2 linked regions of the Macaca fascicularis genome follow. The protein of the gene in region 1 purifies or fractionates together with the protein of each later gene. This does not show direct contact. Links are inferred from orthologs where the notes say so. Each region holds a gene or a part of one and is shown in the gene's direction. Other genes may lie near its edges.

What was found.
Region 2: the proteins of CUL9 (region 1) and APEX2 purify together in Homo sapiens (affinity purification with mass spectrometry; 3 studies listed by BioGRID and IntAct, counting the BioPlex papers as one, with this or other methods). This does not show direct contact. The link is inferred for Macaca fascicularis from reciprocal best matches to the Homo sapiens genes CUL9 and APEX2.

The regions. Positions count from the first base shown.
Region 1 is NC_088378.1:128,343,648-128,350,259, reverse strand, and holds part of CUL9 (cullin-9), read left to right. Parts: intron 1-48; 5' UTR 49-57; coding exon 58-652; intron 653-1,202; coding exon 1,203-1,357; intron 1,358-1,699; coding exon 1,700-2,200; intron 2,201-2,712; coding exon 2,713-2,848; intron 2,849-2,998; coding exon 2,999-3,192; intron 3,193-3,464; coding exon 3,465-3,870; intron 3,871-4,270; coding exon 4,271-4,463; intron 4,464-6,612. UniProt on the Homo sapiens protein: Core component of a Cul9-RING ubiquitin-protein ligase complex composed of CUL9 and RBX1. The CUL9-RBX1 complex mediates ubiquitination and subsequent degradation of BIRC5 and is required to maintain microtubule dynamics and genome integrity.
Region 2 is NC_088395.1:54,985,828-54,992,962, forward strand, and holds the start of APEX2 (DNA-(apurinic or apyrimidinic site) endonuclease 2), read left to right. Parts: upstream 1-2,821; 5' UTR 2,822-2,921; coding exon 2,922-3,078; intron 3,079-4,046; coding exon 4,047-4,130; intron 4,131-4,748; coding exon 4,749-4,929; intron 4,930-5,460; coding exon 5,461-5,607; intron 5,608-6,155; coding exon 6,156-6,225; intron 6,226-7,135. UniProt on the Homo sapiens protein: Functions as a weak apurinic/apyrimidinic (AP) endodeoxyribonuclease in the DNA base excision repair (BER) pathway of DNA lesions induced by oxidative and alkylating agents.

The DNA.
Region 1 (6,612 bases):
TTTTTTTATTTTCTCATACTGCCTTATCTTTCTCCTTATATATCCCAGGAGGTCAGGATGGTCGGGGAACGGCATGCTGGGGACCTCATGGTGCCTTTAGGGCCTCGGCTGCAGGCATATCCTGAAGAACTCATTCGACAGAGGCCTGGGCATGATGGGCATCCTGAATACCTGATCCGATGGAGTGTCCTGAAGTGTGGGGAAGTGGGCAAAGTGGGTGTGGAAGAAGGCAAAGCAGAGCACATCCTCATGTGGCTGTCAGCTCCTGAGGTCTACGCCAACTGCCCTGGGCTGTTAGGTGAGCGGGCACTATCTAAGGGACCTCAGCATGAACCAGCTGGGGTTTCAGGAAGCTTTCCTCGAGATCCAGGAGGCCCGGATGAAGTGGCAATGGGAGAGATGGAGGCTGATGTGCAGGCGCTGGTACGCAGGGCAGCCAGGCAGCTGGCAGAAAGTGGGACCCCAAGCCTCACGGCTGCTGTGCTCCACACCATCCACGTGCTCAGTGCCTACGCCAGCATCGGGCCCCTCACTGGTGTCTTCAGGGAGACAGGAGCCCTGGACCTGCTTATGCACATGTTGTGCAATCCTGAGCCTCAGATCCGCCGGAGTGCAGGCAAAATGCTGCAGGCTCTGGCAGCCCACGATGCTGGTAAGAGACAGCCAGGGAAGAAGGAAAACAATGGAGAAAATGGGGCCACAGGGAGTAAGAACAGAAAGAGGAGAGATTTCCTAGCTCTGTAAGAACACCTAGTATTTGGTGAATATCAATTTGATGCAAAGGAAAACTACAGATTCGTAGGCTATTTCAGGTATATAAAGAGGCTAAAATGATAGCCTCTGGCTTATCTGTTCATTCTCAGTGCATTGACCAGAGAAGAGAATAGGATTTATCTGTATTTTCGAAACTGGATTGAGATTTATTAGTTGGTTTTGAAATCAATTTGGTGGGTTACAACCAACATTTTTTAAAAAACTTAAGTCATTAGTGTGTAGCACTTAGTAGGGGTAAATTTTGTACCATAAAATATATTTCAGTTATATGTATGTATGTTTGTAACAGGTTACCATGTAAAACATTTCTTGCTGTGAGTCTTAGTAACAAAGTTTGAAAGCCTCTGGGATAGGAGATAGAATCTAGGAAAGGCAGGGAGAAAGTACTGGGGATTGAGGAGAAGTTATGGATTGGGTATGGATTACAGGGAGTCGGGCTCACGTCCTTCTGTCACTGAGCCAGCAAGATGGCATCGAGCAGCACATGGATTTTGACAGTCGCTATACATTGCTGGAGCTGTTTGCAGAAACCACATCCTCTGAAGAACACTGCATGGCCTTTGAGGGCATTCATCTGCCTCAGGTACACTACCAGCTGTAGGGAAATGCTGTGTACAAGGGCTGAGGCATTATTTCTGAAAACATGGTTCAGGACTGAATGTTAGCACCAGAGCCACCTGGGAACTTGTTAACATGAAGGTTCATGTCCTCCCTCTCAGCCCCTCTCCATTCAGAATTTCTGAGATGAGAACCCAGAAATCTGTGTCTTAAGACACTCCCTGTGCCTTTCTTACACAAATCAAAGTTGGAGAACTACAGGCCTGGGGAGAAGGCCTTTATTTTTCTGTAAAGGAGGATACTGGGGGGAAAGGGAGAAGCTAAAGCCAGGAAGAGATGAACCTGTCCCAAGTATTGTGCCTTACAGATCCCAGGAAAGCTGCTCTTCTCCTTGGTGAAGCGCTACCTTTGTGTCACCTCCCTCCTGGATCAGCTGAATAACAGTCCAGAGCTGGGAGCTGGAGACCAAAGCTCCCCGTGTGCCACAAGAGAGAAAAGCCGGGGACAGCGGGAGCTGGAGTTCAGCATGGCTGTGGGCAATCTCATCTCTGAGCTTGTGCGGAGCATGGGCTGGGCCCGGAACCTCAGCGAACAGGGCATGTCACCTCCCCGGCCAACCCGGTCCATCTTTCAGCCCTACATTTCAGGCCCCAGCCTTTTACTCCCCACCATTGTCACCACCCCCAGAAGACAAGGGTGGGTCTTCCGCCAGCGCTCTGAATTCTCCAGCCGTAGTGGCTATGGAGAATATGTGCAGCAGATGCTGCAGCCGGGGATGCGAGTGCGGATGCTGGATGATTATGAGGAGATCAGTGCTGGGGACGAGGGCGAGTTCCGGCAGAGCAACAACGGCATTCCCCCTGTGCAGGTGGGCAGCATGTGGTGGTGAGACACTGTTGGGAGTTTATTTGGGGTGGGGTATAGCTGGGACTTCATACAGCGGACTCCTGCAGGCCACCCAAGAAGAAACCCCCTTGGGGAATTGGAATGATACAAGGGGGTTGGCATTTGCGGGGGGTGCATTTGGAGGGCTGAGAAAATGTGGCAGGGGTGTGGGGTGTGGGTGGACTGTAAGTTCATGGGAGACTCACCCAGGAAGCAGAACTGATAAATGGAGATACCTCCCCACCACCACCAGTGGAAGAGGCTAGGAAGGAATGTGGAAGCAGAGAACATCATGGTTAAGAAGAGGCAGGGCCCACTCCTGATAAGGGAAGGAAGCCTTTTGCCATATGGGGGTTTTTCCAGGCTTAGCCAGCTGTGTATGTGAGGGTGCGCCCCAAATCTATGCTTGGGCATGTCCTTTCAAGCCTTCACAGGCCAAGGCTCAGATGGTTGAGCCTTCTCTATTCTGCCCTCTTTCTTCCTCCCTCATACCAGGTTTTCTGGCAGTCGACAGGCCGCACTTACTGGGTGCACTGGCACATGCTGGAGATCCTGGGCCCTGAGGAAGCCACTGAGGATAAGGCTTCAGCAGCTGTGGAGAAGGGGGCAGGGGCTACTGTGTTGGGCACAGGTGAGCCTAAGAGGGGACATGGATAGCATGTCTCTGAACAGAGGAGTAGTGACTGGGATGAAGCCACTTCTGACCAGGAGCAGTCCTAGGGGTCCAGAAACGGACCCCATTCCTGAGGGGTGCTGATCCCCACCATGCCTGTGTCCTCAGCATTTCCCTCCTGGGACTGGAATCCTATGGATGGGCTCTACCCTTTGCCGTACCTCCAGCCCGAACCTCAGAAGAATGAGAGAGTGGGATATCTGACCCAGGCTGAATGGTGGGAGCTGCTTTTCTTTATCAAAAAGTTGGACTTGTGTGAGCAGCAGCCAATTTTCCAGAATCTTTGGAAGAACGTGGATGAGGTATTATAGGCCTGAGATACCTGGGGATTTTCTAGTAGGGTTAGAGGTGGGATTCTCTAGAAGGAGTTTCAGACAGGGGATACCACTAGGGGGAGGCTGGAGCTAGAGGTTAGAGTTAGGAGAAGTCCTGCTGGGGGGCAGAGGCAAGTGCTGTGAGGGTTTAGTATGTAGAAGGTGTGGGGGCGTGGTGGGGAGTGATCACCCTTCCCGTTACTGACCCCAAGACCTTTGTGTCTGCTTATCTCTTAAACGTATACCCCTTCTGTTGACAGACCCTGGGTGAAAAGGCCCTAGGTGAGATCTCTGTGTCCGTGGAGATGGCTGAGAGTCTGCTGCAGGTTCTCAGTAGTCGATTTGAGGGCAGCACTCTCAATGACCTGCTCAACTCCCAGATCTACACCAAGTATGGGCTGCTGTCTGATGAACGAAGCAGCTCGTCTACTTCACGAAATCACTCCTGTACCCCAGATCCAGAAGAGGAGTCCAAGTCGGAGGCCAACTTCTCAGAGGAAGAGACTGAGTCCCCCAAAGCAAAGGCCGAGGCCCCTAAGACAGAGGCCGAGCCCACCAAGACAAGGACTGAGCCCCCCATGGCACAGAGTGATTCGCAGCTGTTTAACCAGCTTCTGGTGACTGAGGGGATGACCCTGCCCACTGAGATGAAGGAGTCAGCCAGTGGTGAGTCAGGTTCTGGGAGGAAGCAATTGGAACAGGTCCTGGGTGGTCTCAGTAGAAGAAATGGATAGTCAGGATCGAAGGAAAACCATGGAAGAAGGTCATTTTTGCAGGAGAAAATGCCTTGGAACCATGTGTCCATCTTCTTCCTTTTGACCTTGATTGTATTTAATTAACCAGCGCTCCCTTCAGTATCTCTGGAAAAGGAGGGTCCTTTTTCTGTGGTGTCTTCATCTCCTTTGTTTGATCATTAGATCCCTGACACAGAATTGGAAAACTATGCAAGCTGCAGTAGCCGATAACGTATTTAAATATTGGTAGGATAACTGGGCTTGACTTTAAAGACTTCTAACTTCAAGGTGCCACAGTTCTTTTAGCCATTGCCTTTTCCCACCAATTTCAGAAATGGCCAGAGCCTTGCGGGGTCCCGGTCCTCGCAGCTCCCTGGATCAACATGTGGCAGCCGTCGTGGCCACTGTGCAGATATCCAGCTTGGACACAAACCTGCAGCTTTCAGGGCTCTGTGCCCTCTCTCAGGCTGTGGAGGAGGTCACTGAGCGGGATCACCCTCTGGTCCGTCCTGACAGATCACTGAGGTTAGCATATTGGGGAGGGAAGAGGTTTTGGTTGAAGCTGTAGGCAAAGGATGGTGGTAGAGGGGAAGGAGCTTTGAGATCACGAATTAGAAAAGCTGGGGATGAGGGAAGGCTCAGCCTGAGGAGCAGCCGAGCAGGAAGGTTGGATGTTTTAATGGCTCGTATTCTTGGAGCACTTCTGTTATGCCAGGCACTATGCTAGTATATATATATATATATATTTTTTTTTTGAAACGTAGTCTTGCTCTGTCACCCAGGCTGGAATGCAGTGGCCGGATCTCAGCTCACTGCAAGCTCCGCCTCCCAGGTTTACGCCATTCTCCTGCCTTAGCTGGGACTACAGGCACCCACCACCTTGCCCGGCTAGTTTTTTGTATTTTTTAGTAGAGACGGGGTTTCACCGTGTTAGCCAGGATGGTCTCGATCTCATGACCTCGTGATCCGCCCGTCTCGGCCCCCAAAGTGCTGGGATTACAGGCTTGAGCCACCACGCCCGGCCAATGCTAGTATTTTACGTGCATTCTCTCATTAAATCCACCTAACATCGGAGGAAACGTTGGTAATATTTATCCTATTGGATGGGTGAGGAAACTGAAGCTTAGAGAATGTAAGTAACTTGCTTAGAGTTTTACAGATAGCAGAGCCAGGATTCAAACCTAGGTCTTTTTGGCTCTAGAACTGGAGTTTTTTCTCTTTCTTTTTCTTTTTTTTCTGTCCCTACTTTTTTTTTTTTTTTTAAACACATTAGACCTTAAAACCTACTTTATTTTAAAAGTTTTTTCTACTTTTATTTAATTAATTAATTTATTTATTTATTTTTGAGACGGAGTCTTGCTATGTCATCATGCTGGAGTGCAGTGGTGCGATCTTGGCTCACTGCAACCTCTGCCTCCCGGGTTCGAGGGATTCTCCTGCCTCAGCCTCCTGAGTAGCTGGGGTTACAAGCATGTGCCACCATGCCCAGCTAATTTTTGTACTTTTAGTAGAGATGGGGTTTCACCATGTTGGCCAGGATGGTCTCAATCTCCTGACCTCATCATCTGCCTGCCTTGGCCTCCCAAAGTGTTGGGATTACAGGCGTGAGCCACCACGTCCAGCCCTCTACTTTTAAGTTATACAAATAACACGCAACGTATTCTCATTTTATTTATTTATTTATTTTTATTTATTTACTTGTTTTTGAGACAGAGTCTCACTCTGTCACCCAGGCTAGAGTGCAATAGTGTGATCTTGGCTCACTGCAACCTTTGCCTCCTGGGTTCAAGCAGTTCTTATGTCTCAGCCTCCCAAGTAGCTGGGATTACAGGTGCCCGCCACCATGCCTAGCTAATTTTTGTATTTTAGTAGAGATGAGGTTTCACCATGTTGGCCAGGCTGGTCTCGAACTCCTGACCTCAGATGATCCAGCCTCCCAAAGTGCTGGGATTACAGGTGTGAGCCACCATGCCCAGCTGGATTCTCGTTTTAAAAGATCTGAAGAATGTAAAAGAACATAGGAAGGCCGAAGTCCTTTCTCACCACTGTTATCAGTCTACTATATCCTATAGATTTGCATTTGTAATTGTGTGTTTGGAAATAGAGCATTTTCTGAGTCTGTGCTTTAGTCTATGTAATCACATTCTACATGTTTCTACAATTTTTTTTTTTTGCCCCCACTCAGTGCCTTAGAGGGCTTTCCATATCAGTCTGCATGGAGCTGCCTCATTATGTTTACTGCTGCATAGGACCCTGCAGTGTGGTTATCTCCAATTTCAAGTGCAGTGTTCTAACGGGTCTGTTTTTCCTTAACATCTGCCAACACTGAATATTGTCTTCTTTTTCAATCTGTCTAATTGGCAGCATTTTAAATGATTGGTATCTCTTTGTTTTAGTTACCTAGTTCTGGTAAAGTTAGGCATATTTGCATACATTTGTTCTGTTTTTTTTTTTTTTTTCCTATAAATATTCTGTTCTTATCCTTTGTCCACTTTTTAATTGGATCTTTGCCTTTTTTAATGTATTTATAGGAATTTTGGTTATTCCTTTGTTATTTATGTTCCAGATATTTTGCTTGTCTTTTTAAAAATCATATTAGCTTTATTTTGTGGTTATAGAATAATACATACAGTAAAAAAATTAGAAAATTATTAAAATAAAAATTATCTGATCA
Region 2 (7,135 bases), on another chromosome or scaffold:
GTGTATGGGGGGAGAATCCTATGTAAAGGAGCATATGACAGTGCTGATGGATAATAAAGTCATGAATGGGGTCTCCCTATTGGTAGCTCTCAGACTGTTTGGGTATGAATGCATTTGTGGAGAATGAAGGCATGAGGGGAGATCGACCACACACTTACAAGCTAGGTGCATGTATATGAGTGTCAGGCCTTCTGTGACAGGAGTCTATGATCCCCTTCCTTCTCAGCCACTGTCCTGGCCCACCATCTCTCCACTATTTTCGGCCTCATGCCTGGGCCCCAAACCTCACTGAATCCTAGTCCTGGAAGCGGCTCTCCACAGACCATAGTCGCACAGGGAGAAGAGCAGCTGGAGGGTTTTGGGTGGGATTGCTTGTGGAGCCTATATAAAAAAGCAAGATCACTACTCTTAGAGGGAGGAAGTCCCGAAATGTCTCCAAAGAGCTTTGGTTTCTGCCTTTCCACCCTTCTTGATCGTGACAGCCCTCTGAGGAACATTGGCTAGAGACTCTGATTTCCATTTTACTGAGGAGGCTACTGATGCCCAGAGAAGCTAGAGAGTTTGTTCAAAGCCCACAGCAAATCAACCCTACTTTACACATCAGTGGGGAGGTAAGAGCTATAATCTCAATCACTCAGTTCATTCAAAACCACACCAGAACAAGTTAGAGAGACTTTCACAGGTGCTAGGGAATTGCCCTGGGGGCCAGGGTCCCACAAAGGCCAGAATGGATTTTTAAAAATATACAGATATATAAATAGGTTACATATAATCTTTTCCCCCACTTTCCCATGCCCTTTAATGCACACGTCAACCAACCATCTACGCAAAGAAAATTTTTCAGAGGGCCTGAAGAATGGATGTGGATTTGTGTAACTCCTGCCTACGTTCCCTTCTTTCTCACCTACCTTTTATTCTAGAGGTTTTTTCTTCCATTGCTAATTATCCAACACTCGGATGTCTTGCATTTACAGACCCCTAAGGCAGGTCCAGTGGGTGGCATCAAAGAGGAAGCCTGGAGGTGTTCGTTGGTTCCCTGAGAAGGCTGAGGATGTACCCTTGTTAAGTGGGGGGAGTGTATGTGCTCTGTTGAAATATTAGCTGTTGTAGTTGCCAAAGAAGTTCCTGAGCCACCCGAAGCCTTTTCTCTTCAGTCCAACCATGTGTTCACCTTGCCCCAAAGGTCAGAACTAATATTAACAAGCCATTGCAGAATAGGGAAATTAAAACCAGCTATGGAGACAGGCAAGTTCTGGATTTTGCTGGGGCTGAGTTTCAGATTGGTCTTCAGTGTAAATGGGCATAATCTCTTACTGGAAAGCAATCTGACAATATGAAGCAAGAGCAATAAAAATGTTCATTTCCTTTGTCCTAGTTGTCACGTTCATGGGAGTCAATCCTGAGTCAACAACCCCCAAAGCATGAAAAAGCTTAGGACACACAAATTTTATTTTAATCACAGAGCTATTTTCTGATAGCAACAACTGGTAAATTTAAGTCCTCCAGGAGGAAAAGCAGTTTACTGCGTCTTTGCTGTAACCATTGAGGACGATGGCTCTAATGCTTAAATTCTGGGGGAAAAATAATTATGGTGCAATTCTGGGTGAGGAACCTAAAGATGCATCGTTATGCTTTTCCCTGGACATTGGGCATATCCATTATTTCTATTTTTTGTGCTCTCAAAAACAAGCCATGAACCTGTTGATGCTCTTGCTATTATTCTTTGTTCATTCATTCACCTGACAAATATCTATTGCTTCCCAATATATACTGTGTCCAGTATTAGGGGATGGGCTAACAAGATGAACCAGACATGGTCATTGTTCTCAAGCTGCTGGCAGTCTATTGGCAGCAGAAATAGAAGTCAATGACAGCTGTGTATTATAAGTACTGTGACAGAATGGACCATAGGGTGCCGTGGGGCCCCAGAGGAAAAGACTTAACTGGGGTGGTGTGTGGTCAGTAAAAACACTCAGAAAAGTAATCCTTGAGCTAATTAACATAAGGTTTGAATCCTGGCTCTACTACTTCAGTGTAAGAGAGACTGAACTGTGAGAATGAAGTGAATTCACTCGACGTCTCTAACTTAGACTCAATGCCCCAAACAGGGCTGTCCTGAGAATTAAATGCGATAACATATACAGAAGAGCCATGGATGCATCCGGAGACAGTGCTGCTCACGAGCTTACATTTCCTGGGCCTCGATTTCACTTATCTGAGAAACAGAACCAAGAGTAAGGATGTGCCCGGCTACATCCTTCGGAATGTTAAGAGCCAAGACAAATAAAAGCTACAGGGCAGGCTTGAGACAGCCTCCTCCTCCTCCCCTCTGCCCCAATAAAGCCAAAGGCCCTCCTCCTAAGTCTTATCTCAGTGGAGCGACTCTTACTGCTCCCTCCTCCAACCACGAACCTCCCTTTGCCCCGTTCAACGCGAGCACTTAGCGCCAGCTACTCCTGGGGCGCAAGCGCGGCAGCCATCTGTGCACTTAGGTGGGCGGTCCGTCGCACTGAGGGCGGGGCTTTGGCTGCTGAGCAGTTCCGCTCAGGGTCGCCTACAAAGTGGCAAAATCCCGTTTGTAAGTAACCGGACGCACCACGTGGACTTCTGAGTAGAGGAAAAACGTACTGAGACTCAGGTGTCCGAGCGGAAGGCGCGGGAGCCCAACTGGAAACTCCTCTCGCCATTCATTGCCCCTAGGCTTCCGCTCTGCTTCTTTCACGTCCACCCAGTTCTTCCTCCCGCCAATGAGAACTGAGGAAGTTGAAGCCCCCGCCCGACGTGCGTCAGGCGCTTTTGTGGTACGCACGAGAGCGCCTGCGCAAACGCACGCGGGAGGCGGGCCTGGCCAACTTCGGAACAGCGAGCTGTTCGCTCGCGCCTAGTTTGGCGCGGGCTGGGAGGTGTTCCAGCCCGTTAAGATGTTGCGCGTGGTGAGCTGGAACATCAATGGGATTCGGAGACCCGTGCAAGGGGTGGCAAATCAGGAACCCAGCAACTGTGCCGCCGTGGCTGTGGGGCGCATTTTGGACGAGCTGGATGCCGATATCGTCTGTCTCCAGGAAACCAAAGTGACCAGTGAGCGCTCTGGATTCCAGGATCCCTGCATACTTTTTCTTTCCCGCTAACTTTTGCCCCCTGTCCCATGTAATTTTACTTTCCCAGTTTCCTATTCTTAGAGTCCTGCCCTTAGACCCAGGTCTCTTCCCTATTAAACTCCCATTTCCCACCCTAGCTAGATCCCCAGTTGCACTCCATTTCCTGTCTTCAGCAAACTAGCTCCTTCTCGAAACCCCATATCTAGTCAGATTCCCACTCATTCTCTGGCCCCAAACTCAGTCCCCTGAATTTCCTCCTTCCATACGCTGTCCATCTCCCCGCCACCAAGTCAAACCTCCGAATTCTTCATCCTTGCCCCAAGCTCAGATCCTCTAATTCCCACCCCACCTTTGACCCCAGCTCAGTCTTTCTAATTGCCTCCTTTTCACACCTCCACCTCAGAACCCCGTACCCCTTATCTATCCCCATCTCTCCTCCCAGCTGAAAGTCCCTAATTCCCACCTTATTTCCCACCCCAAGCTTAGATGTCCTCTTATTTCTTCACCCTTCTATCTCCCCTCAGAATCCCCTAATTCCTTTTCCTTCCATCCCCAGTTCAGATCCCCTAATTCCCTCTCTCTTACCTCTCACCCTTAGCTCAGATTCCCACTGTCCTCTCATATGTCCATCCCCACCCCCAGCTCCCTCCCATCGTCCAGACCCCCAGGCTTAGCTCTGATTCTTTCCCTCTCCCACCTAATTCTCCACCTCCACTTCATAGTCTCTAACCACCCCCGCCAGCCTTCTAATTCTGATATCATTTTCCTCTCTGACATTTCCCATCTTTCTAGGTCTTCCTCTACTCATAGATACTTCATTCCCGTCACCCCCAACTCCGGCTCTGATGTGTGCAAGGAATTAGCCTACAACTGTAATTCCAGGCCTTTGTGTTTCTCGGATGCTAGTTTTACCTCTGACTTAATCTTACATTTTTTTTTTTTCCCTAGGGGATGCACTGACAGAGCCCCTGGCTATCGTTGAGGGTTATAACTCCTATTTCAGCTTCAGCCGCAACCGTAGCGGCTATTCTGGTAAATGGGGCTTTCTGTGGACTTTAAATTAGTGATGGAGGCAGATGGGGAAAAGGGTTTCCAATATTTGATGAGAGGGTAATAAGAAATTTAGACATTTAGTTTACAGAGCTAAAGCTGCATAATAGTAAATTACGTGAAATATAATTTTTATGGATAGAATTATCCTACTGGACCTCAGAAGTACAGTAGTAGTGTGGTGCTTAATTGTGTGAACTGTGGAGCCAGAAGCCCAGGGTTTGAATTGTGGCTCATTCCTAGCTGTGCACCCTCTGGCAAGTTACATTACCTCTTGGTGCCTCAGGTTCCTCAGCTAGAAAATGAGGATGATGTTTACCTTCTAGGGCTGTTACGAGGATTAAATTAATTAATCCATGTGATAGTAATAATTGCTAATACTTCTCGAGCACTCACCATGTATCAATGTAAAACACTTAGAACATTCTGTGGCTTTTTTAGATGCAGGAACTGAGACTCCAAGGTTTGAATAAGGTTCCCCAAGAACCACACTTTATGAAGATGACTTAGGTGACCTGTGTGGGGACAATTGGAGTGGGACAGGCTGTGCAACAGGGTATTGACTGCCAGGTCTGCTCAGAGTACCCTGTCTGTTCCCAGGTGTAGCCACCTTCTGTAAGGACAACGCTACCCCAGTGGCTGCTGAAGAAGGCCTGAGTGGCCTGTTTGCCACCCAGAATGGGAATGTTGGTTGCTATGGAAACATGGATGAGTTTACCCAAGAGGAACTCCGGGCTCTGGATAGTGAGGGCCGGGCCCTCCTCACACAGCATAAGATCCGGTAATAGCTCATATCTCCCTGCTACTGAGCACTGCTGGTGCTACTCTTTGAGTGTGAAGATTCTGAGGCTTGCCCTGTAAACATACATGCACCATGGTGAAGTTCCCAAATTTGCCTTTCCTGATTTAGTCCTGGCTGGGCTGCTCAGTGTGTGACCCTGGCAAATTTTTCCCCCTCTGAGGCTTGAGTTTCCATCTCTACAGTGTGGGGCTGGCCTGGTGATCCAGCCCTTATTACCATAGACATCTCAAAAGCAACTTAGTGCTGAATTCACTGCCCCAGGTTTCTCTCTTTCTGGGTGTTCTCTTTGTGAATAGCAGCGCCATTACCTGGTGGTCATCCTTAGATGTCCGTCTCCCTGCCTTACCAGTAGTCAGTCCCCAAGTCCTGTGCATGCCAGCTCATTTGTGTCTCTTTAACCCCTTTCTTTTCCATCCCAGACAGTCACCAAATGGAAACCATGTGGTATGGGGAAGGGACAGAAGGGGAGGTTTGAAACTGACCCCTTTTGAAGGTTTCTCTTTTCTCTAGCACGTGGGAAGGGAAGGAGAGGATCTTGACCCTAATCAACGTGTACTGCCCCCATGCGGACCCTGGGAGGCCTGAGCGGCTAGTCTTTAAGATGCGCTTCTATCGTTTGCTGCAAATCCGAGCAGAAGCCCTCCTGGCGGCAGGCAGGTACTGCAAGCCTAGGCAGCAAGGCTTCCTTGAGTCGGTCCTGGGTGCCCAGCCCTGTGTTAAGCTCCATTGAAAGGGATATGGAACCTTTCCAAAGAACTCAGAGACAAAGGGATATTGTTTCTACCCCACAGAATAGTTTTAAGGGTGAAATGAGATGAGAATGATAAAGTTCCTGGAAGCAAAGGAAAGTCTTGTTCCAGGGAAGGACAGGAAAGTGAGGGTGGGTTAGAGCAATCAAGGGGAGGTGGTATTTGAGCTCACCTCCCCTTGATTGAAGGACAAGAAAAATGCCCATTAGGTACTGATCAGTGAGGCAGTCATGTCAAACATGGAGCACTGTCACCTTTGGAGATCAGAATTGGGTTGGTCAGATATGAAAGGCAGCAAGGTTGTGGTAAGATTGGAGAGGTAGGCTGCTATGAGTTGCTGTTGGCTAGGAAGCCTCAATATGGGAGGTGGCCTGTCTGAGCTCTTGGGCCCAGGAAAAAGTATACGAGCCAGGACTGCTGCACCCCTTTCTGACAATCCCATATTGTGTTTTTCAGCCATGTGATCATTCTGGGTGACCTGAATACAGCCCACCGCCCCATTGACCACTGGGACGCAGTCAACCTGGTAAGGCTACCTCTAGGTGCCTGGCCCCACTTGATTGATTCTGTTTGTCCAGCCAACCAATGCTGAGTTTTTGGCCCAGGGACAGCTTCCTTTATGGGAAAGTGGAGCTTGGTTTGCAATACTATTCTTATAGTACTGAGGATTGGTCATTTATTCAATAGACAATACTGACTCTGCCACATACTGAGGACTCAGGAGTCAGATCCAACTCTTGGCTCCTAGGAGCTCTCCAGCATGGTGGTGGGCTACAGGCGCATGGCTGGCCAATTATAGGATGGTATTCTCAGAGCAGAGACACAGATGGCATCCCAGAAGGCTACGGGAGCTCAGAGATGGGAGTCCTAGGTGAGCTCAGACATCAGGACAGGCAGCTGAAAATGGCTGAATCTTAACAGACAAGTAGAACAGCTTTGAAGTAGCGAAGCATTTTAGCATGGGCAAAGGTTTCAAGGTGAGAATTTGCATTGTGTGCATGGGGAACCACAAGTCCCTTTCTTCTCAGTGACACGGGAAGGGAGGTGAGTGGCAGAAGGTGGGGCTGGAGAGTTGTTGGGGGTCAGATGTTTTCAAGGACTGTGAATTCCACATTGCCTTGGTCATTTCCTTAATACACTGTGTTTCTTGTTTATGAACTTTCAATACCTCTTGGTTACCTCTGTGATGCAGAGAAAACATCGAGACCTAGCATTCAAGGCTCTCCATGGACTGCGACCTGTCTGTATTTCCACCTTCAGTGTCCCTACACATTTTGTCCTCTCTAGACAGGTTGTCTCCTGTCGGCCTGTTGTAAAAGTTATTCTCATTCTGGCTTTTTTCACTGTGCCCTGAATTGGTGGAAATGACCCCCTCTCTGTCTTTTTGTTATATGAACCTCTTATCTCTAAGTCCCCCTAGGCCCATGGTTTTCAGC